Drosophila melanogaster: one gene and its partners. The protein of the gene in region 1 interacts with the protein of each later gene in a pairwise test. Each region holds a gene or a part of one and is shown in the gene's direction. Other genes may lie near its edges. The genes, in order: CheB42b, Roe1, CG30355 and santa-maria.

The links.
Region 2: the proteins of CheB42b (region 1) and Roe1 interact in a two-hybrid assay, tested with the Drosophila melanogaster proteins (one large-scale study listed by BioGRID).
Region 3: the proteins of CheB42b (region 1) and CG30355 interact in a two-hybrid assay, tested with the Drosophila melanogaster proteins (one large-scale study listed by BioGRID).
Region 4: the proteins of CheB42b (region 1) and santa-maria interact in a two-hybrid assay, tested with the Drosophila melanogaster proteins (one large-scale study listed by BioGRID).

The regions. Positions count from the first base shown.
Region 1 is NT_033778.4:6,941,889-6,946,385, reverse strand, and holds CheB42b (chemosensory protein B 42b), read left to right. Parts: upstream 1-2,390; 5' UTR 2,391-2,399; coding exon 2,400-2,636; intron 2,637-2,702; coding exon 2,703-2,879; intron 2,880-3,039; coding exon 3,040-3,216; 3' UTR 3,217-3,290; downstream 3,291-4,497. Other genes in the region: CheB42c (chemosensory protein B 42c), read left to right, coding at 976-1,212, 1,269-1,445, 1,516-1,692.
Region 2 is NT_033778.4:13,551,364-13,556,516, forward strand, and holds Roe1 (Roe1), read left to right. Parts: upstream 1-2,713; 5' UTR 2,714-2,817; coding exon 2,818-2,903; intron 2,904-3,023; coding exon 3,024-3,318; intron 3,319-3,663; coding exon 3,664-3,924; 3' UTR 3,925-4,243; downstream 4,244-5,153. Other genes in the region: link, read left to right, coding at 4,625-5,153. UniProt on the Drosophila melanogaster protein: Essential component of the PAM complex, a complex required for the translocation of transit peptide-containing proteins from the inner membrane into the mitochondrial matrix in an ATP-dependent manner.
Region 3 is NT_033778.4:8,678,173-8,682,927, reverse strand, and holds CG30355 (uncharacterized protein), read left to right. Parts: upstream 1-2,974; 5' UTR 2,975-3,099; coding exon 3,100-3,434; intron 3,435-3,491; coding exon 3,492-3,717; 3' UTR 3,718-3,782; downstream 3,783-4,755. Other genes in the region: Acsl (Acyl-CoA synthetase long-chain), read right to left, coding at 1,323-1,477, 1,543-1,818, 1,880-2,143, 2,207-2,379, 2,442-2,916, 3,794-4,000, 4,060-4,498.
Region 4 is NT_033779.5:7,443,685-7,453,071, reverse strand, and holds santa-maria (scavenger receptor acting in neural tissue and majority of rhodopsin is absent), read left to right. Parts: upstream 1-1,827; 5' UTR 1,828-2,123; exon of another isoform or gene 2,124-5,384; 5' UTR 5,385-5,424; coding exon 5,425-5,565; intron 5,566-5,770; coding exon 5,771-6,076; intron 6,077-6,136; coding exon 6,137-6,656; intron 6,657-6,718; coding exon 6,719-7,443; 3' UTR 7,444-7,717; downstream 7,718-9,387. Other genes in the region: Gr28a (gustatory receptor 28a), read left to right, coding at 1-352, 412-531; CG5973 (uncharacterized protein), read right to left, coding at 8,099-8,145, 8,213-8,363, 8,429-8,607, 8,674-8,799, 8,859-9,012, 9,087-9,178, 9,240-9,387.

The DNA.
Region 1 (4,497 bases):
TAATGTGTACAATTGTTATGTCTAGCTGCTATGTTCGGAAAAAATGGATAAAATATACAAATCATTTTTTGTTTAGATCTTGACGCAGGTCACCATTGCAACCCGTTCCATATGCCTGCTTCCTCCCACATGGAGACAGTGAAATCTGAGATCAGACAAGAATGCGGAATGCATTTCCCCTTCAGACTCCACAAACAATTGGAGAGCATGAGAATCATCTTAGTTGTATTAATTACTTTGCATTATTCCATAAATAACTTTGCGGGAACAATTCTAGATGCTGTTCCCTCTGTTAATGTGGAACGACTGATGTGCATAGCTTACTTGGTGTTTTGAACTGTGCCGAGTGCTCTGCATGTATGATGTCAGCTTCAACAGCAATCCAAGGCTAGTTAATTAAAATGAATATGAAATTGCACTTGTGATTCACAAGCTGTGATTAAATTGCGGAAAGTGTCCATTTGACTTGTTGTAGGTGTGTAGTTGTCGCACCCAATTATGCAAAATAGTTACGGAATTTATGAAATCGTTTAATTTTCGATGAAAAAAGTAAAAATTTAATTTAATCAAGGAGCCTACAAAGATTTTAGCATTGAATTCAAGAAGAACAAAAGGTTATACTTTTACAAGTATAACAATCTAAATGCCTATTTGGCATACAAGTTGTTATGCTAATGGCTAAAACCTTTAGTATTTAGCTTATATATCTTAATAAATATAAGATTAACAGGAATGATTGTTTTGATCGTTTAATAAGGACTATTTTCATTGGCACTGATTTCCTCGAAACTTGTTATGGTTGAAGTGAGCTTCTTGCTTTAAATGTCGATTTAAAATAATGTCTGGCAAACAAAATGGTTGTAACTTTGTTGCATGTCGAGTGGATACATGATGACATGATAGCAATGATAGAAGAGATCATGATGGCAAGTACTATAAAAGGGTCTCATCCCACCAGGTGATACTATTGTCATCATGAGAACTCTCATGCTGTTCGTATTTGGCTTTGCTAGTTCCTGGGCCGCAGACTACGAGCTGTTGCTGGAGGACCCTGATATCTTTTCACCCTGCACTGAACCGCCGCCGGGATCGATTGGATTCCACGATGCCTTCGATATTGGCGATCTGGTAGTCGACCAGGACATGGACATCATTCACCTGTCCGAGAGTGTCACCTCAATCTGGGATGTGGAGCCCACAGATCGCATATCCGTAATGCCCGCATTCCTTATACGAAATAAGATTATTAATAAACAATTGCTTTTAAGGCCAGGTTTGCAATAATGCATTACAACCGCGGCAGCTGGGAACCGACTGTATTTAGCATGGCCACGCCGGACTTCTGCGCCTCAATGTTTGATGAGAATCAGTCGTGGTTTAAGTACTGGACCAAACACATTTCGAACCGCGATGAGGTGATGGAGAAGTGTTTTAAAACGCGTGGTGTGAGTTTTCCCTGCAAACAAAACAGTCCATCTCTGGCGCGGTGACTTTAACCTTGGGATTCCATTACAGACCGTTATAATGCACAATCCATTCGATCTGCAGCTGCGTCTAACGGACATTCGTGGTGCAACTCTCAGGGGTCGTTACAAAGCTGTGGTCACCTTTGAGGCGGTCGATGAGAAGGATGTGCCACGCCGTAATTCCATTTGCTTCGAAATCAGGGGAGAGGCCGAGAAGATAAATTAATTAAGGGCTTAATCTGTTCAAGGCGCGATATCAGTAACCTAAAAAACAATATAAACCCAATATCTACATATTTTGAAAATAAAAAGCAATCTTAAAAATATAAATATAAATAAAATATATCAACTATTCTGAACTTGATATATGTACTTGATTTGGTACAAAGTGTGTAACAGGTGACGCGAACCTTTTTTTTCGTTTGATCAACCTTATGCCCGTATGTGATCTCGGGAGCTATAAAAGCTATATTGATAAGATAAGGGATGCAGATTATAGAGAAGTACTTTCAGAAGATTGCCACGCCTACTCTACCACACCCTCTAACGACCAAAAACCGCCCAAAACTGTCACGCCCACACGGATATGTGATCGCCAAGAAAATCTTTGGGGAATTTGTTTTTTGTTTCAAACTTGTTTTTTTTTCTAGCCCAAAAGTTATTATTATTAAAACATCTTGTTTTACAATGTTTAAGCACGAATATTTTCAAGGGTCACATAACGTGATTTGCCAATTATATTGTTAGAGTTTGACAACGTCTGATTAACAGGAGATGGTTGTTACATTGTTGCGTGTTGAATCAATGTACGATGGCATACCATGATTAGATGTCATCATTTTAAAAGGTGTATAAATAAAACATATCAAAAACTCTATTGTGGCAGTGGCTATAAAGGGGTCGGATCTCACAGTTTTCGGTTCTATGGTCATCATGATATTTGTGCTGCTACTCTTATTAGGAGTGACCAGTTCCTGGGCCACAGACTATGAATTATTGCTCGAGGATCCGGACATATTTTCGACGTGCACTGATGGTCCTCCCGGATCCATCAACATCCGCCAGGCACTCAACTTAGACGACATTGTAATCGACCAGAAAGGGGATATACTTCATGTATCCGGGAACGCCACCGTCGTGTGGGATGTGCAGCCCACCGATCGGATTACTGTAACACAAACTGCAAGCTTCGGAATAATCATCGATTCTAATATCAAAACTCTTGCATCCGTGTAGGCGAGACTTGATGTTTTTCACTTCAACCGCGGCACTTGGGAGCCCACTGTCTTTAGCATGGCCACCCAGAACTTTTGCTCCATCATGTACGACAAGAACCAGTATTGGTATAAGTATTGGACAAGGTTTATAACCAATCGCCATGAGGTGGAAAAGAAGTGCTTCAGAGGGCCTGATGTAAGTGGAGTTCAAGCAATTTGACAACCAAATACGGTGGAATATAATAGCATATGGGAATAGTTCTCATATGGGATGCAGATTATTCATATGGTTGTGTGCAAAGGACACTACCATTTTTTATTGCACAATATTTTGAAAATATTCTGATTTCTTACAGACCGTTCTGGTACACGAGCCCTTCGATCTCATACTAAAATTTGAGAATTTTCGTGGACCTCTTCTTAGAGGACGTCATAAACTTGTCATATTGTTTAACGCACTAGATGAGAGGAATATACCGCGCCCAAACCCAATTTGTTTGGAGATCATAGGAGAACCACTAAAGTTGCAGTAGTTGGAACAATAGACTATTTTGTTGAATGTGTATTTTTTTTTTCAATATTGTATAATATTAAACATAGTGTTCTTAATTCCTACATTCAATAACAATTTAAACATTGCATCGTGTTTTAACAGATCTCATAACTTTAGGGGCTTGTTTTACCTTCCATATCCCCAATCAGTTAACTTCTTGATTCGTTTTGTTTTGTGGTTGGTGGCACGCGTTGACGGCAACTTGAGTTCAAGTTGCGGTTTCCATATCGGCTAGCTGCGTGTGGCAAGTACCTTCTCGGGTAACGACGTGCAGACAAAGGAGAACCGTATACTGACTGCATTTTTTTGGGGTCATGACTGCCGTTGCTGGATGGGGAATATGCAAATACAATTGTCGGTTATTGGATTACCCGATGATGATTGGCATAAGTTCCGATCGATTCAAATCGCAGCAATCGATTTGTCAATTTGCAAAGCTCTTGCCAATTCACGGAAAATGTTTCTTACAGATTTGCGAAAACTTTTAAACGGCAGGGAGGTAAGCCTCGGAACACTTTCATTTCATATTCCCGGCGAATAATTTTCTACTTTCTAAACCGAAGAGCCAGAAACAAAGACCGTCTTTAGGTGCAAATTAGCAGCGCACGATTGTGCAGGCCGCTCCGGGCAATCCGGTAAAGTCAACATCTGGCCAAAGCCGAAATTATGGCCGCGGGCACTCACTATACTATATAGTATATGGTACGTCGGACCTCATAGAAAATCAATCAGTGCGGACTTCTGCTTCGCAGGCAGGCTCTTGGATTTAGCATAAGAAACGGCTCTTTCTGGAGGCAGTGGCTTTGTTCGCCAACCCAAAAAGCTGGCAATGTAGGACGTGGCGACGGCATGGCTCTGAACCCGTTTTTTTTGGCCATCTCCGCCTCTATCCACCTAGCCGCTGCTGGGAATCTTTGGGGCCTTATCGAGGAGCAGCACCGAAATAGCAACAAAATTGCAGCATGAATGGGGCTGTGAACCAGCTGGAGAGCCGGTCCGTGTGGGCAGCCTTTGTAGGCTATTGGAAAGATCAAGAGTTTATAATGCCAGCCACACGTTTGTTGTTAGCTGTGTGTTGTGTGCATGGGTGTGGGTCTCCTCGTGGTGGTTGTGTGAACTTTTCCAGTTTGCTCTGACTGGCATAAATTGTGGGTTTTTAGGTGTCTAGCTCACTTCCCGGCCGAGTTGGCTTGCCAAGATAAATGGATACACATGGAGCGGTTGTGGTGTACTATATGTGCATGGATGCACCACGTCCATT
Region 2 (5,153 bases), 6.6 Mb from region 1:
TGGGCGGAAAATTGATGGCCATAATGGAAATGACGGAGGGCCCTGAATTTGTCAACCGGGCGATCGCGAGTGCGAGCAACAACTGAGCGCCTGAGTTGACCACGTTGGTCCGCAGCGGACTGGGTTTTCTACTCCGCACCATTGACAGCTTCCCGATTCCAATCCAGATCGCACTTAGCTGAGCGCAGGCGCAGAGGCCTTGGCGATCAATTAGCAGTTCAATTGATAACATCGAAGCTATCAAAGCGTATCAATTGCCGAAATTGGCACAAGTCTAGACCAAATCGCTTTTCAATTTCTTTCGTTTAAATGGAATTAAGAAAACTATTTTAAGATGGGTTATTCAACTTTTACGAGGAAAACATGAGTGAAGAGGTTATATCTATGAGTTCCTAAACTTACTTAATATGGTTAATTATTTATGCTTACAAAATTCCTGCCAAGAACCTAGTACATGCCTTTTTTGCCATTGTACTAATAAACTTAAGCAACATAGCACTTTTGTTAGCCTAAAATCGATGTCAGCCTAGTTAATTAATAATTAGTAAGCTTATAGTAATATATTAAAAACAAACAAACAAAACATACACTGAATGCTAGTCGCGTGCCAGGTCAATGGAATTATCGCTTAAAGCACCTATTCGTACGGCCACCACTGTGTTGTTGCATGTGAGATGGGAATCCGATAAGAGTTGTGTATAAGACCGCATGATTACAAATTCGGGCAGGTGATTGGGACCTTACCACCACCAGCTGCTGGTCATGTGGTTGCCGCCCAGTCCCGGAGCCGAGGTGGATGCAGTTGCTCCATCCACCGTTCCAGGGGCATGCAACAGATGACTTCCATCGGCAGCGGCGTCCTTTTCGGTGCAGAAATATTCCTCTTGGTCGGAGGAGTTTAGGTCCTCTGGTGCTGGCATTCCACTTGTATGCCTGCAGATGCTTGGAGAGATCAGGGACACATCTGTGCCCTATCTGGAGGAATGCCGTGCTATATATGCCGTTTAAATGCAGTACACCGCACTGATTGTTAACGAATTCTTTCGATGCAAAAAAAAAACTGGTCAAAGTTTTGGCTAGGGCTGTCAATAAGTCGATTAAATAATCGATAGCATCGATTTCTTGGCCCATCGCGAAAGTAAGCGCGAAATTTAAAAACCCAACGGATGTCTTCACCTTCGTCATTCAGAAGAGCATTCGTCATTCATAATTAATGTCGACAAAGGAGTGTACTTGGCATTGCAAATTAGTCAGGCACGTGAAAACACCATTTTTATTTTTAGCCTAATTTGTACGTGTTTTTGAGTGCTTTTAACCTCTCAAACAAACATTTTTGTTGTTTATTTTTAGAACCGCTTATAAACAATATACAACTATATGGCGGAGAAATGGCATTGTGTGAAAAACTTTAATTAGATCTAAGAATATCATTTAATATATTGTTTTTTAATGTGTTTTTATTGCACAGATAGCTATTAATAGCACTTGGAATCTTTCTTTAATAGGAAATCTACTATAGACACTGTTGAAACTAGCTTTAGCTGTAGTTTTTGTATAAAACCTAGTCTAAACTACATGTTTACTATGTTTACCTCTTTATTTCCCTTCCTGTGAAGCTTTCTTAGTCCACCCACCTGAATTGTTTACGCCTCTCACTCAAATCCAGGACTCTTCTCAATGGCTTGGGTGAGTTGCCCGGCGACGTGGCTGCCGCTCCATCATTTTCCTCCTCCAGAGAACTGGACACCGAGGTACTTGCCACCATTTGGAGGGCCAATTGGAGATCCTCCTCACGCATTTTTTGTTGTTTTTTTTTATTGGAAAAGTATGAAAAAAAAACCGAGTTTTGAGACGACAACCTCGTTGTTCCGGTGGCGAGATCCAACTAAGTGACTTCTCGTGCTTCGTTTTCCAAAATATATACAATGCATGCGCATATGTAATACTTGGCAGTGCGATCGGAGAGGTAAGTTGTTGAATAGATGCTATGCCCGCCTCGTACACTCGTACTTTGAATTCATTAAGAGCCTTCCGATATTTACATTTCCAGAGCAACTTTTTTCGAGCGGTCCATATTTTGGCGGCCCCGGGGCGTGGCCGATCTGGTATGAGATCGATTTATAAGCTATGCGTGGATTAATAGCCGGTGGCGCACTCTTAATAATATATGTCCGAAGGTAGCGCCAAGAATATAGGCCCATTTTTGCATTAACACCGATCGATTTTAAGTGGACCTGCGCCTGCCAATATTGTCGATACACATTTTCACATTTTTATATGCCATTTGCATATTCCGTTTGTCCATTTTATATAAGAAATATTTTGTCGCTTTAAATTTGTATTTATGACCAAGGTGAATTCTCAGGGGTGTCAGGAACTACTGATCAAGTAGGGATTTCTTTATTAATAATAATTGTTTGTTTATTGCATTTTTGGGTTTAAGTGTGTAAAGTGGTAAAATTTCATACATTTTTGATTTCATTTTGGTAATATTGATGCTATTTAAATATTTATTTATTACTTGCACCGATTTCCTTCTTAATTTATTTTTAAGTATTTTAGTTATATAAAGAGATTTTCTTTGGATTTAATGTAAATAATTTTTTACATGAATGAATCCGAGCTTACATCTATTCTACATCCGACTTGACTGTTGCATTCTACAGCTGCGCTGCGGTCACACTAAGCGGCAACACCGGGTGGAATCGATAAACAATTACTATCGAACACACATCGATTGTTGAGAGAGCTGTGAAGCCGACGATTTTACGTCAAAAGCGGAATAAGTTTATTTAACGTACGAAAAAGCTAAGCATAATGTCAGCAAAGGCAGCCTTACCACTGCAGATGTTTGGCCGGCGACTCGTCCACCTGAGGTCATCGGTCACTTCTCAAAATATGAGGTAATTCCGGTTGCATTGCTTCCTCTTATCTGTGACGTAATGAGGGCGCACGTTTGTCGTTTCGCATGTAATTCTAACATTGCCTCCCGTCTCACTCCCAATCGTCTACCACACAACCAGTGCCCTGCGTTTGTACAGCACAGAGAAACAGCCGGAAGAAGCGACAGAGCAGAAGGCCACCGAATCGTCGCCAGAAGTTGAGAAACTCACCAAGGAACTGGCCGCCGCCAAGGAGCAGAATGCCGAGCTAATGGACAAATACAAGCGTTCGCTAGCCGACAGCGAAAACATGAGGAACCGACTGAACAAACAGATCAGCGACGCCAAGATCTTTGGCATCCAGAGCTTCTGCAAGGATCTGCTCGAGGTGGCGGACACACTGGGACATGCCACACAGGCGGTGCCCAAGGATAAGGTACAAACTATCTTATCTTAAGATTTAAGGTTTAAGGTATCTTAAGGATTCAGACTCGCAATGAAGTTGCATATGTTGAGATAAGAATTTCGTAATTATTTGTTGCCAATACTTGAAAATCTTCATAGCATTTTAAGGTGTATTTTCCCGATCTTTCCATTTCTATCTGAGAGATAACAAACCCGATTGCATTACATACATCTAATTGTACATATAGATTTGTTGGGGTATTTTAAATTGAGATATTTGGATAACTTGTTAGCCATTTTAGACTTAATAGATAGTTTAATCGTTTTGCATTAACATTCTTAAAGCTACCCTTACTAATGATCTTAATTATTGCAGCTCAGCGGCAATGCTGATTTGAAGAACCTGTACGAGGGCCTCACCATGACGCGCGCCTCGCTGCTGCAGGTGTTCAAGCGACACGGACTGGAGCCACTGGATCCCATCAACCAGAAGTTCGACCCCAATCAGCACGAGGCGCTGTTCCAGAAGGAGGACAAGACCGTCGAGCCCAACACCGTGGTGGAGGTGACCAAGCTGGGCTACAAACTGCACGAGCGTTGCATACGTCCGGCCTTGGTGGGCGTGTCGAAGTGTTGATAGCCATGCGGCTGCCCAGAGGCATGTAAAATTCCCAGTACTCCCCCCCCCCCCCTAAACCAATTTACATGGCGTGTGTCTCTCAATTGTTTGCAATTTGTTTTCCGCTGCAAAATTCATGTACGTAAACCCTGTGTAAATACAACCTATCCCACAAACGCATCCTTCGGGCAAAGCTTGCGAATTTAGAATTCCTCCTAGTTTCTAAGAGATCTGTGACTGGATTTGATGGCCACAATTTGTACCATACGCGTGGCCATCGAGTGTTCCACTTTAAGGTTTAATTACGATAATAAAACATGTTTTAGTTTGTTGAAATATACCACGGAAATTTGTATTTCATCCTCATCTGGAGGAGACTCTGTTTATCTAGGTCTCTTTTTAGTTTCCTTTGATTTTCCCCGTTTTCCTTAGCCCTTGAAATTCGAATCCCTCATGAAAAACCATTTCTTTTGTTAACAAAAACCAGGTAGCGAAGCGTAATCGCATTCCTGCTCGTCGCGTAGGTGGAAAATTCAATGGAAATGCGTGATTTTCTATGACCCAGCAGGTAGGCTTCCAAGCACGTTCCCATGAATTCAGAGGTAGCACAGATGGTGGGTTCCCTAAAACGAGATTTGCGCCAGAGTTGAAAGTCTACTTCAAACGGTTTTGAACTATCTCGTTGGTTAGTTGTCCTTAAACATTTGAAGTGAACGGTATGATTGGTGTGCTAATGCGTTTTCTCTGGTCCTTGGCCATGGTGCAGTGCATCCAGGCTAGAGTGTCGATGCTGCCTCGTTTTTATGGACAAGACAGCGCTGTTATAGTGGACATCAATAGAAAATTCCCACCTAGAATGGACTCCAAGCTGCAGAATGCCCTGTACTACAACCTGCCGGTCTACAAACTGATAAAGCCAACCACAACAACTACGACAACCACGACGGCTGCTCCAACCTCTGGCTATCCTGCTGATCTCCTGAACATTGCTCACAACAAGCTGGGCCTCAAAGATCTGCCCAATCTCGAGGAGCTGGGCGAGATGATTGGTACGGATGGTGCCAGCGAGACCATAGACTATATACGCACGCTAACTGGAACGGAGGAGGGTTTGGCCCTGATGAAACAGTATCTGGATGCCCTGCACTTCGAGGAGGCGGAGGAGGAGAATGTGGCCGAGGAACAAGAGAAGGCTGAAGACGACGACGACGATGATGATGACAACACCATGGGCAATGCCAGCTACG
Region 3 (4,755 bases), 1.7 Mb from region 1:
TTGTCTTATATCTTTATTACTCGTAACTCGTTTCGTTATTATAACAATGATCTATTTGATCAGGGCGACAAAATCGGAGATACGAGTTCCACACGCCGTCCCTCGTGATTTTTAAAGAAGTCGAAATTGCATCTTTGTATCATTTGAATTTTATTGAAAAGAAACGTAACGTTTCCACAAAAAATTGCTAAACGTTTCCTAAATATACATAGTTTAACTAAAAATATGACTACAATTTATTCAAAAAGTTCTTGCACATCTAAAACAAATGTTATTACATTTTAGTTTTGAGATATAGGCGTTTTGTTGGCCTTCTAGTGATTTCAGTGTTTTTATTATATTTTGGTACTAAGTCTTTCATTTGTTGCATATTAATTTTGACTTTTCTCTTTACGTGTTTTACATAATATATTTCATAAAATTCATTTGATGTCCTTTTTTTAACTAAATTGAGCTAAAATATATATTACAATTGCCTTTGTAACCTTTATGCCTTTGTGTAATTAAAAGTAATTTTTGGATGGTTCCATTTGTGTTTAGATGTATTTTACTCTGCGCCAAAAAGAAGCATTTGCAAGGGAAATTCTTAGGTTCTTTACTTTCAATTGTGGCTTTTAATTCATAATCAAGTCGCTTTCATTGCTGCTGTCTACATTTCATTACTTCAAGAATTCCATACATTTAACTTAGCATAGAGAAGTACACTAAATATTAGATTTATTTTACACATATATGCTTTTATATGAATGTGTATATCGTATGTACATAATTAATAGGCAACCACTTAAGCTTAATATAAAAATAAGTATTTTTCTGCAATATAAATTTGCCACACAATGTACTATAAACCGAAAACTGTACAGTATACAATATTCCTTCTCATCATCGGCATTCAGTTATCATTACCATTATCATTGTCAATCGGTTGAACAGCATTCCTAGCACATACACAGCGCATTTCCAAACCAAACTCAGCTTCAGCTACATATCTGCCAAGCAAGTCTTTGCGAACTTTATTAAAATGAGAAACGAGTAATTTTCGATTTCTAGCAAATAAGATAAAACGAAACGAAAAAGGCAAATGAGAACATTCTGTCTGTCTTTACATGCGCAATGTGGCTAATCGGTTCCTGCATGTACTGCTCGGCATTTAGATCTTTTAGGACTTAAGCTAGTTTGGTTTTGGATTTCGTATGCATGCTTATGCTGTGTGGGGTGCTACTAAAAACAATTAGTACACACTAGCTTCATTGCTGCTGCTTTAATGTTTGCGTGTTGTTGTCGTTGCTGCATCTGGTACCTCTGGCTTAGTACATTGACTTTCATGAGGCGTACATGCGGTTAATATCATGCTGATATCTGTCCTGGATATCCTTGCGCTTCAGCTTGAAGGCGGCGGTTACCAGCCCCATGTCCGGAGACCAGACCTCCTTACAAAGTGTGATGGCGGCGGGAACCTCATATTTTTGCAATTTACCTTTAAGATTAAACAATTTGCCATTAAAAACTTTGAAAAATACTCAAATCTGCATCGTAGCTTACATTTCCGCGCATGCTCAGCAATTTCCTTGAGAATAGCCTTCTCTATGATCGGTGATGAGCACAGCTCCTCAAAGGACTTATCACCCAGGCCATGTTTCTGTGCCAGCTCCTCCAAATGGTTTTGGTTGGGAACGACCAGCGCCACTGTGTACTGCTTTGTCGGATCTCCGTATACGCAAATGTTCTCGATGATTCCGCAAGTCTTAAGCTCAGATTCAACTTTGCCAAGGGAAACATACTCGCCGGCCTGCAGCTTAACCAGATCCTTCTTACGATCTGCAAAAAGCGTATTATAATAAAAAAAATGAAAGAAAAAGCACTGTGCTAAATAACTTACCAATAATCTTAAGTACGCCATCAGCTTGTATTTCGCCAATGTCGCCGGTTTTAAACCATCTCTGTCCATCCTCCTCAAAGAAATCCTCGTTGGTCTTGCCGGGCAACTTGTAGTATCCCTGGGAGACACACTCGCCACCAATGAGAACCTCACCCTGGGGATAAGGTTTATTTGTGACGCGGTAGTTGCCTTCTTCCCAGTTGACTAGACGGATGTCGCAGACAGTTAATGGTCCTCCAGTGCGTCCATAGGTCATATCACGGTCTTGTATTGGGTATAAAGTTATTTACTTGTTTTCAAAAGAAAGGTCGATCTGCGATCACTTACAGTCCATGACAGTGGCTCCAGACGTAGTTTCCGTAAGGCCATAGCCCTGAATCAGCTCCAAGCACAAGCAGGTCTTGATCTGCTCATGTGTATCTGCTGACAGAGGCGCTCCGCCAGACATGATAATGCGCACTTTGCCACCCATTAGCTTTGCCACCTTCTTGAACACCAGTCTGCAAGAAAAATAATAGTTTTAGTTAGCAACTCATGATATTTATGAGCACACCGTTCTTACTTATCAATCAGCGGCGTCTTGTACCCCCTCTGCACCCACTTGACTTTGTACTGGTAAAGGAATTTGAAGAGTGATTTCTTGAACGCCGAGCCAGAGTTAACCTTGTCGTTAATACCCTTGGAAATGCGATCCAATATCAGCGGCACCGAAGTCATGCAGGTGGGCTTCAGGACGGTGGCATCGCCCTTGCACCCGCGTTTGATCTTGCTGCTAGTGTCGATCAGAGTCAAGGGGGTCGAGTAGCCAATTGGAACGCCAGTCATGAGACACACACTTTCCGCAACCAATTCAAAAACGTGAGCCAGGGGCAGGAATCCGATCAGTACATCATCCGGATAGATAGGCACCATATCAACAAATCCCTTCATTGTCGCAATGCAGTTCTTGTGCGAGAGGAGGACACCCTTAGGTGTGCCAGTGGATCCGGAAGTGTACATGATAATGGCAATGTCATCTCCCTTGGGTGGAACGTGCTCTGTGGGATACAAAATAAAGTCAATTAGTACTAGTTTAATATTTAACAAATTCCTTGCGCATAGCACGCTATACATATGCTGTCAACATTTCAGTGCTGAATTAAAAGCGCATACTTTCGGTAAACAGAAAGAACTCTTTCCAAATTGTGTAGGGTGATTTTTTAGTTCAGACACCATTCGAAATGGCTGAAGTCCTAGAGGAATTCATCACCCTAACGCCCTTGACTTGTGTGCAACAATGCAATGCTTTACTAGGCTCAACATCAGGAAAGCCGAGAAGCTGCTCCGTATTTTTTACACTATTTGGCGTATACTGCGGCGTTCTCATCTTTCGGGCGTATCGCACATATTCCTCTAAGCAAGAAAGAGACGAGGAAAAGATAACCGAAGGAGTTACCCTTGAGGCTAAGGAGGAAGATTTGATCATAGGACCTGGTTCCAGTCTTGTGAACGAATATGTAGAACAAACGAAGCCGATTCTGTTGCAACCCGTCGGTTTTTCCAGTACTGACATGAGGTGAGAGTTGTAGATTAAAACACTGGATGACCCATCAACACATTCTGTCTCGATTAGATGGCGCTATTGCAACCACTTGCCGGAAGCAGAATTAGCACAAGGCTCTGATAGTGAAAACAGATCAACCGAAAGAGATGACATTGATAACCTCGAAAGGATGAGCAATGTTGTGGATGATAATGATGCGCAGAAGCCGGTTGCATCCACATCGATGGCAACGGCTCGGGCGCCTGAGGATAACGCCGATGGTGAACACGTCGAGCCCACACCATTTTCGGTGTGAAACACGATGCATTTTAGCAAATTTATCGTGTAATTGACATAAATAAATCATCTTTTAAGACCCTTTCAAAACGTACCAAATTTACTGTCCTGTCCTGTCTTGACAACTTGGTTAAACGGCAAGATCTTGACGCCCTCCTTGAAGCCAGTGGTTTCTGTCTTTTGCAGCTGATCCTCAATATAGATAATAGTCTTCACCAATGGGCATTTGTCGAGCAGCGTCTTAAACTTGGGCAGCAGATCATGGGAGGTGATAACCGTGGTGACTTCCGTTTCGGTGATGCCTGGCAACAGAGCAAAATATTATTTAAAAACCATACACATGGTAAGCCAATTTACTCACAATGAGCAACTCCATCATCGCCCAGCGTAGCATAGACAGTGACAATGGGCATAGCCTGCTTAAAGCATCCGTGGGCAGCTATCATCCATTCGGCTCGCGTTTCGGCAAAGATGACAATGTTCTCGCGTGGTTTCTGGCCAAGTTCTCGCAGACCGCGCCCGAAATTAGCCGCCGTGCGCTCCGCCTCGGTGAACGTCTTCCACTTGTAGTCACCGAGGTTGTACTTCTTGAAGACTCGACCGTTCTGCTGCACCTCATCCTCCTCGCTGAGGATCTGCCGGGTGCCCAGACAACGCTTCGACGTGTAAGTTTTGGCCACATAGTTGAATACCTTCTCCAGGGTATCGATATTCTCTTGCAGCATCTTCACGTGGACATCCCGTGGTGGATCCGTGGTCCGGTAGGTCAGCTCATTGTCATCATTCCGCACGATCTTTGCCTGGAAAATGAGCGAATTCGTGGCGATTAGTTTAACGTCGTGTTAGAGGTTGCGATTTAAAAAGAAACGCTAGATTAGGGGAGGGACCACAAAGTAGAATCGACAGAGAGATAACGGACATGTGAGTTTTCGAGGGTTTGTTGAGGTGAGGGCCGTAACTCGGGAGATCATGTTTCTTGGACCAACACCAAAAAGAGTCTCCAAAAAGGGGATTCAACTCTGGGTACGATCACCAACCAGTACCTGGAACATTCATT
Region 4 (9,387 bases), on another chromosome or scaffold:
GCTCGGAATCATAGCCATATCCTTTCTGTTCATTCTCTTTGATGACTTTTACATTTTGGAAGCCATTCTGAATCCCAAACGACTGGATGTCTTTGAGGCCGATGAGTTCTTTGCCTTCTTCCTGATGCAGCTCATCTGGTATATAGTGATCATAGTGCTGATCGTGGAGGGCAGCAGTCGGACTATTTTGCATAGCAGCTATACGGCAGCTATAGTTCACAAGATTCTCAATATCACCGATGATCCAGAACTCAGAGATCGACTTTTCCGTCTGTCCTTGCAGCTGTCGCATCGGAAGGTCCTTTTCACAGCCGCAGGACTTTTTCGTCTGGATCGCACACTGATTTTTACGGTGAACTAATGTTGAAAATAATTAAATATTTTATTTATTTAAGTGGTTAATTTTTGCAGATTACTGGTGCTGCCACGTGCTACCTCATTATCCTAATTCAGTTTCGATTCACACATCACATGGACGACACCAGCTCCAATTCAACAAATAATTTACATTCCATTCATCTCGGCGATTGATTAAAATTATATATACACATTAATCAATTAAATTTAAACATAAAGTGTCCTAACGTACAGATGAAAAATAAATTAAAGTTTTCCAGCTCGCAGTAAATTACATTTTTTATCCGTATTTTTTAAGTTATGATATAATATTTAAAGCAAGTAAACATTTCAATTGCACTTAATCAGTACGTTACGTATTCACGTAACGTAAGCCAATCGACAACAACAAGCTGGTTGCTACGTCACTGACTGTGTTGCTGGCTGACATGAGCTGCTTGAATTTCACTAATGAATTCAAATGGATAATGCTGGCCGAGACCCATTTCGAAGCTAAGGGCTGGCTTGACCCACTTCTGCTTGCTCCACTTCACAACATTGCAACATAATCTGCAGCGGTAACTGACTTTTGGCCACAACTGATAGCTAATCCCAGTTAGCACGCCATGTGAAAGGAGGCAAAAGACTAATCCAATAAGGAAGCCAGCCTGAATACGCACTGAAGCAATGACATTTTATTGTTTTATTGCCTCAGACTGCAATCCATGGGTGTTTTCTATGCCATTTGCTGGGGAGTTGTGCCCCTATGATAGCGAAATAAAACAAAAAAACAGTTGAAACTTTGCTCTGATCGCTTGTCGATTTTCGCAGCTTACAAGTGTGTGGGGTTAGTCGTGAATGTTCGCTGTTCACCCAGTGCTAATCATCACGATTAGCCGCATTGATAAGGCTTCGACAATTTGTTATCAATTCGGATTTCTACTTTACGATTTGTTTACTTTTCCACAAGCCACCCGATTCGTATGCGAAAATTCGCAGTTTTATGAAATCTAAGTGCATAGGAATTTCTTTCGCTGATTGTGATTTTTTGAAATGTGACCCAGTTATATTTGCTATTCGACTGAACAATAGAAAATATGTTGACTCTTTCAGTTCATTCATTTCATTTTTATATCATTTGATATTTATTAGATGTAAATATTTAAAAAATATATATATAAGAAACTAAAATATTTGTAAACGTATTTAACAAAGCAAATGGTTCAATTTAGATTATTTCCAAAAATTTATATAAAGATGGTGACACTGTTGTTTCTGACTACTTCTTCCCTTGGATGCATTCTACAGTTTTAAAGTCGTACTCGCGTTTCAGATTGTATATTGTTTAATTCAAAATTCAATGGCACAACTATGAAAAGCCCAAAGCGCAAATTAACCCAAACACCCACTCGCACACACACATACACACCGTTGCTCGGATACTCGGAGCTCTTCTCAAGCCCAATTCCATATACATTTCCATTTCCATGTGCCGCACTTGACTGACATTCATCGGCCGCCGAGACCGCTCCGCTCTGCTCGCGGTCCGTTCGCTGAGAGTCCGCCGCACAGTCGCATCGAAGCCGCCGGGCGAAGCGGTACCATTTTACGGCATTTCCCAGGGACTCGTGTCCACTTTTCCGGCCTCTGTGCAAAGAAATCATCCACGTGCTCAAGCGTTCTGTCCACATCCTTATCGAATTTCAATTTCCTCGCAAGGAAAATCAAAACGTAAAAAAAAAACCGAGGAGCCTGTGATTTGTTTCTATTTAGCAAATAAAAGTCAAGTGAGTGCCTTTAAAAGAAAATAAAGGAAATTTGGAAAGACAAAAGAAAACTCCTTTCGCAATATCACGTAATTTCTTAGCGCTTCCTGCTTTGTTAACACATTACGTTTTGGCTTGATTTGGCTTAATCGCCGGCAGACTTATTAAGATTACAGGTCATTAAATGAAATTAACTCGACAAGAATGAAAAATAGTCGCCAGACAGAAAACCAAATATATATGTATGTACAGTGGCAATCTATATTATACATTCTTTTTGTGTTTATACTGGCTTTGTGTGTCGTCTCCCTTTTGAAGAAATAAGAGTGCCGGAATGCAAAACAAAGGGCTTCCAGCTTGGACTACGAGGCGACCTGTTGATTGTGCGATTAATGGTCTAAAATTAGTCCCAGGGAAAACAGCTGCTCAGGAAAATATTAAGCATGCGCCCCGTTGACGAATTATGTTTTGTAGCTTGTATTTTTACATAAAACGAAATTGGGCGATGATAAATTATAATGAAAAAATAAAAAAATCTAGTATATGTTTTGGAATTTTCTGCAAAAGAACGGCAGCTGATCTTATTTGGTATATAAATAAAAAACAAAACAGTGGTGTACAAAACACATTGCGTATGCGACCTGTTAACCATTTAAAGTTCAAGATAATTAAATATCAACTTGCTCCCAACTAATTGCAGTTGCGTGTGCCTTTATAAGATAATAAATATCTGAAAAACAAATAATGTAAATACTCTAATAGAAAACCAACGAATGTCTTAAAAATTGCAAATTAAAATATTTATTTAAATTTTCTTTATTGTATGCAATAAAGAGCCAAAGAAACTTCACATTCATTTTCCAGCTATTCGCTAATTGAATAATCAATGCCCAGATTGGCGAATCCTCAATAAATACAGCTGTTCGTTGGCAAATTACTCATGGGACCCGTTTAAATATAGTTCAAGATAATCGAAACTAGCCCCTAATAGCATGTTCATTAAAGTTTCGTTTAAGAATTCAACTCATGCTGGACAATTAAAGTCAAATCAATTAATCAATTCACAATGAATTAATTAAAATCTCAAAGGGCTTAAACAACTTTAGTTAATACTGAAATCTTGGCTACGTAAAAGTGGCATTTAAAGAAATTTTTTGATTTAAAGTTCATTAAAAAGAAACAAAATAACTTTCTGCAGTTCAGGGACCTTTAAAAGTACCAAGCCTATTTACGGTTTAGCCTTTCGCTCTTTATTTATAGTTGTTGGCTTTTTTTTAAATCGTCGTGTGTATTTTCGTACTTGAAGGCTGCGAAAACTCAATTACATGCCGATAGCTCGTTATCAAAAAATACTCGCCCAAGCATATGTGAATTTGCGAACTGCGTCAAATCTGTAAGTTGCGGTTTATCTCAATGGCAGCCTTTGTGGTTAAATGGGGTTGAAAAACATCAGGAAAAACTGAGAAGGTGTTGACTTGTCTCACATCCAGTAGACGATCTTAAAGTATCGGGTTTACTGCGTCTGACTTAGTACTTAGAATTTCCGTTTCATATCAAGTGCACTTGCACTCAGGAAGTTAACGCCAAAAAGGCAGATAATTCTTGCTAGAATGTTTCAGAATGCATTCACTTTCGATGTGGCATCACTTCAGAGTTCAGTGTTCTCGGTGCATTTGCATAGAATATGAATAAAGCGTTCGGAGCATTCATAAAAATGTTAATATAGAAGATCAAGAACCAGAGAGTATGACAAGAGCATGCCTAATTTAATAATGAATCAAATATACCGGTCACTAAAATTTAAGCTTAATTAAACGCAATTATTCAGTGTTGCGGCTTCGAGCTTCAAGAGCGAATATCAAAGAACTGCACTGAAAAAAAAACGTATCTTGCTATAAATATTTTCTCACAAAAAGAGATATTCCTGCTAAAATCTCTTAGATTTCCATTCAAAATCTATCCTCGTTATGTGCGGTATTGCTCTTGATCTAATTGAATTAAGCGAAAAATGCGGGATGAACTCTACGTGATGCACCTGTCCAACGTCCATTTCAATTAAAACTCACTTCAGATTAATTGTGAAGACAATAAAAAGGCGCCGACAAATGCTCGACAGCTATTCATCATTCAAAAGACATAATCATATCAATTTACCAGACACCAACCAGAACACAACTGACACGCTCCCAAATAAGCATATATATATGTATATATGTGTATATATATATATAGATTCCTACTCGTATTCATGTGCAATAACGCAAAGTGTCAAAGACCCAACCATAGCTCACTGCGGGGTCAATTGATAGACTCAATTATGACGATATATCACAGAGATGCGAACCTGTGGCATATGTACGTACATATGCAATATTTATGCTCAAGTGATACATAGTGTTTGGTGATGGGAACTCTGGGCAGATTGGTCAAATAATTGCCAGAGGATGGATTCCCGATAAGCGATAAGTGCAGTGCAGTTCAATTTCCTCAATTGTCTGTGGCTTCCTCATGGGTCTGTTTACCTAAGAGTTCAGAATCCGCTTATCGGACCACAGTGAATGCCCCATATAGGAAAATTCGCCTACCGAATGCGATCATAAAATATTTTATCCACATTCATGCATGTTATTCGTAAACGAAATGGATAATTACACGTATTGCTTGCAATGCAGCTTCAAACTATCATAACTAATTAAAACACATCATCGTTGAGTGTCGGGGGAAGCTTTGTAATTATCACCACTGATAGGGGATTCGACTATAGTTCTGTATATATGTACACATATACTTACCGGACTTAGTATATTCTACATGAGTGTAAACAGCAATTGAAAGTCACGCTTTGCTTAAATTGATTCAATTATATTGATAAAAATAGACGCTATGGGAATTCGTCACTCAATAAAATGCTGCGCTTTTTGCATTTTATTTGTATTCAATTCTTTGTTGATTTCTTTGTTCGCCATACTTATATTAATATGTGACTTGATGCATCTGTTAATAAGAGATTTGATTCTACATTTTTTTTATTCTTTAACTAGCACTGCCTGAAAGTAGGCAACATGAACATGAGTTCACAAAATAATATTGTGTAAAGTTATATTTTAAATTATTGTATTATGATTTGTTCATAATGATTTTATAATAGAAAACTTATCAGTACATTCTCAACTTGCACTACATTTATGAGTTCTTTCATTTGATCCATTTTTATATGTTGGCAAATAGACTATCAATTTATCCATTTTCATTGATGTTTCAATGACTTGCATATCATTACAGCCACCATTAGGTATCCACACACCATCGCCCAGCGTGAGCCATGCCAACACAAAACAGCGCAATGTGGGGCCAAAAAAGTAATCGCAAATTAATTATCGGCATTTTCGGCTTTTGCCTGGGACTATTTGGCATATTGTGCGGCATGTTCTGGGTGGACCTGTTCGATTGGATCATGCACAAGGTAATCCCAGTCATTGACAGAGGTTCAGTTAAGTTCATTTCACTTCACTCCAGTGTTAGCCCGGCCAGCTGCATTCGATTAGTGGCTAAAGCCAATTGAAAGTCAAAAGAAAAACAGCCGCCTCTCAATTGGCGCGAGTCAAAGATCGAGGAAAACTCGTTGAGATTTTCAATTAATACCAATTGCGGCTTCTGTTCTTCGACAGGAAATGGCTCTGGCCCCCGACACACGTGTCTATGAAAATTGGAAGAGTCCGCCAATTGATCTCAGTCTGGACATCTACCTGTACAACTGGACGAATCCGGAGGATTTCGGCAACCTTTCCACAAAGCCCATTCTGGAGCAGGTGGGTCCTTATCGTTTTATCGAGCGACCCGATAAGGTGGACATTCACTGGCATCCAGAAAATGCATCCGTCACTTATCGCAGGCGCAGCTTGTTCTACTTTGATGCGGCGGGCAGTAATGGCAGCCTGGACGATGAGATTACCACGCTTAATGCAGTGGCTCTGGTAAGTATCCTATTCCCTTTTATTACATAATATAACTATAACTATACATTTCCATTTCAGTCTGCAGCCGCCACAGCCAAATATTGGCCACCAGTTAAGCGCTCCCTTGTCGATGTGGGACTAAAGATGTACGGTGCCGAGATGTCTGTCCAAAAATCGATCGATGAGCTGCTCTTCACCGGTTACAATGACGCAATGATCGACGTGGCCATGGCCATGCCCATTTTTGGTGATGAGGTGAAGGTTCCATTCGATAAGTTCGGTTGGTTCTATACGCGCAATGGAAGTGCCGATCTTACCGGAGTTTTTAATGTCTTCACTGGCGCCGATCAACTGGCCAAACTGGGTCAGATGCACTCGTGGAATTACCAGGAGAACACTGGATTCTTTGATTCCTATTGCGGTATGACCAATGGATCCGCCGGGGAGTTCCAGCCACAGCATCTGAAGCCCGGCGATAGTGTTGGTCTATTTACGCCCGATATGTGCCGAACTATTCCGCTGGATTATGTGGAAACTGTGGATATTGAAGGACTGGAAGGTTATAAATTCTCAGGCGGACCACGATCTGTAGATAATGGTGAGTCTTGATAAGAATTGATTAATTGTGAGTACCCATTCTATTAGAGATTTATATTTCAGGCACCCAGTATCCTGAGAACCTTTGTTTTTGTGGTGGCCAATGTGTTCCGTCGGGTGTGATGAACATCAGTTCCTGTCGCTTTGGATCTCCTGTTTTTATGTCCTATCCACACTTTTTCAACGCCGATCCTTACTACCCAGATCAGGTAGAGGGCTTGAGTCCTAACCAGAAGGATCACGAGTTTTATATGGTTGTGCAGCCAAGTACTGGTATTCCCCTGGAGGTGGCTGCCCGATTTCAAGTGAATATGCTCGTGGAGCCAATCCAAGGCATTAGCTTATACACTGGAATACCAAGGATATTTTTCCCACTCGTATGGTTCGAACAGAAAGTAAGAATCACTCCAGATATGGCAGATCAACTGAAGGTGCTGCCCATTGTCATGCTCTCCGGACATATATTCGCCGGAATTTGCTTGATCGTAGGCATAACTCTACTCTGCTGGACTCCGGTTCAGATTCTATTGGCTTCCTGTCGAAATCGTAGATACGATCTGAGGACCAAAACCAAAACGAATGGCCAGTATAAGAGTCGCTCTCAATTCTCCAGTGCTGAGGAACTGAAGTCCAAGGCCTCCACTTTGGTGTGCGAAAAGAGTGTCAAAGGATCTCCGGACAGTTCTCCGCTCCTCGAAAAAGGCCGTAAGCCAACCATTATTAAATCCCAGACGGGTGAAAGTGTGGCCACTGCATCCACAGCCATCAGCGACAATAAGCAGGATTGAACAGAACCGCCACATTCACGCCATTTAGATAGTTAAGCCGTCCTAGTGCTTTAGTCGTAGCTCATAGTTTAGTGACACTCTAAAACACCCAACTGAAAATTGCAAGCATTCCCGTGCCTATGCCAAAGATTAGATAGCCTTCGAAGTCGAAACGTCTGGTGGACTTCGCTTAGCTAACGAATACTCTTTTTACATTCCTTAGTTATTAGATATGTTTTGTATTAAAATGATTTCTTGACCCATGGCTTTCGTGTCAAATAAAATCTTCAACTACAAAGGAAATTATCATTTTAGTAGGTTAAGTGGGTAAGATTGCACATAACTATTTTTATTTCATTACAGCTCACAACGTTTGTTTTGAATTTTAACAACATTTTTTTCATCTTTATTAGTTCAATAACAATTATACAAAATATATAGTATATATGGTATCCACTTTAATGCCTAGCTCATGAGCTTGTATCGTGATCATTTTAATTATTGTGAATAATTTTCTTAACCTTACATTTAAAGGGCAAAGAGACTATTACTTAACGTACGACAATATTTGCAATATCACAAATGACCCAACTTAAGTGACTAAAATACGAATCGAAAGGGGGAAGGGAGGATTGTGCGGATTTGGGGGGTTAGTTTTGGACTATTCCTTGTACTATTACTTCTTCATCTTATACCCCTCAGTATACCCATAGCTGTCAGCCACTAAAAAAAAAAAAAGTTAAGTTTATTAGTATATAAAGCCTGATATTGCTGTTTATGAATATCTTACGTTCATAATCCTTGGAATAGCACTCAAAGAATTCGCCCAAAACTTTGCCGTGTGGCAGTTCCCATGTGGCAGAACCACCGTATTTCGGAGGCAAAGCCTTCGCCTCAATATGGGAGATCAGGGACTTGTAGTCCTTGCCATGGAAGAAGATCTACCAAATAGGAATTTATTACATATAACTTAACATTATTTCATGTATTTCTTATTCAAACTTACCCTCTTGCGCAGCTTTTCGCGAATGAATGGCTTGAATACGGCAAAGAGCATATTGAATATATATGAATTATTCACTATGTGAACTGCTTTCAAACGCATGCAGATGCATTCTTGAATGTAATCCAGCAACATGGCGGCAAATGACGGTGTAAATTGTGTAATGTGGCTAAGTGGCAGCCCTGCAAAATGGTTAATATGTATTAAGTAACTTGTATAATTTGTATTTCCTGCCTAGAATTTATTACCTTCCATATCGATAATGACAACTGAGCCGCAAATTTGTGAGTAGGGCTCCACCATAGAACCCAGTACGGTCAATTGAATGCCGCGGAATAGATCCACCAAGGGCACTTGCGATGGCTTCCATTTTTCTGGAGTAATTCAATTATTTATAGACATTTTTTTAGTTGTTTTTAAGAGCCAAACTTACTGCCAGCTTCCAGCACCAAAAGCCGACGGCCGTGTTGATCTCTTTGGGGCAGCAAATTCAGAATATTTGCCTCGAAAACGTTTCTCAACTTGCTGGGGATTATGTTCTCGCAAGCGGCTCCATACTTCAATTTCATGTGATAAAAGTTCTTGAGCTGTACATAATGTAAGAGAAAATAAATAAAAAATATATATATTTAAAGCTTGCATGTTTCAACAAATTACTCACCCTTTTCAAGGCACTTTCTGGATAGTAATGGGTGGGACGCAGGAACATCATCATATACTCATCATCCAATGGCAGGTTCAGGTACTTTTCATCTATTAATTTGGAATTTTTTTTTTAAATTTTATTAACCAACGTGCATGTGCTTTCACCCACTTTGAATGAGTTCCCTGAGTTCCTTGATGGCCTGCTCCTTGACGCCGGGCACTTCCCGCAACTCATCCTGTGCCTTCTTCAGTGCCCATTCCGGCGCTTGTTCCTTCTCCATGCGGATCTGTGCCGAGCCCAGATCGATGTAGGGCAA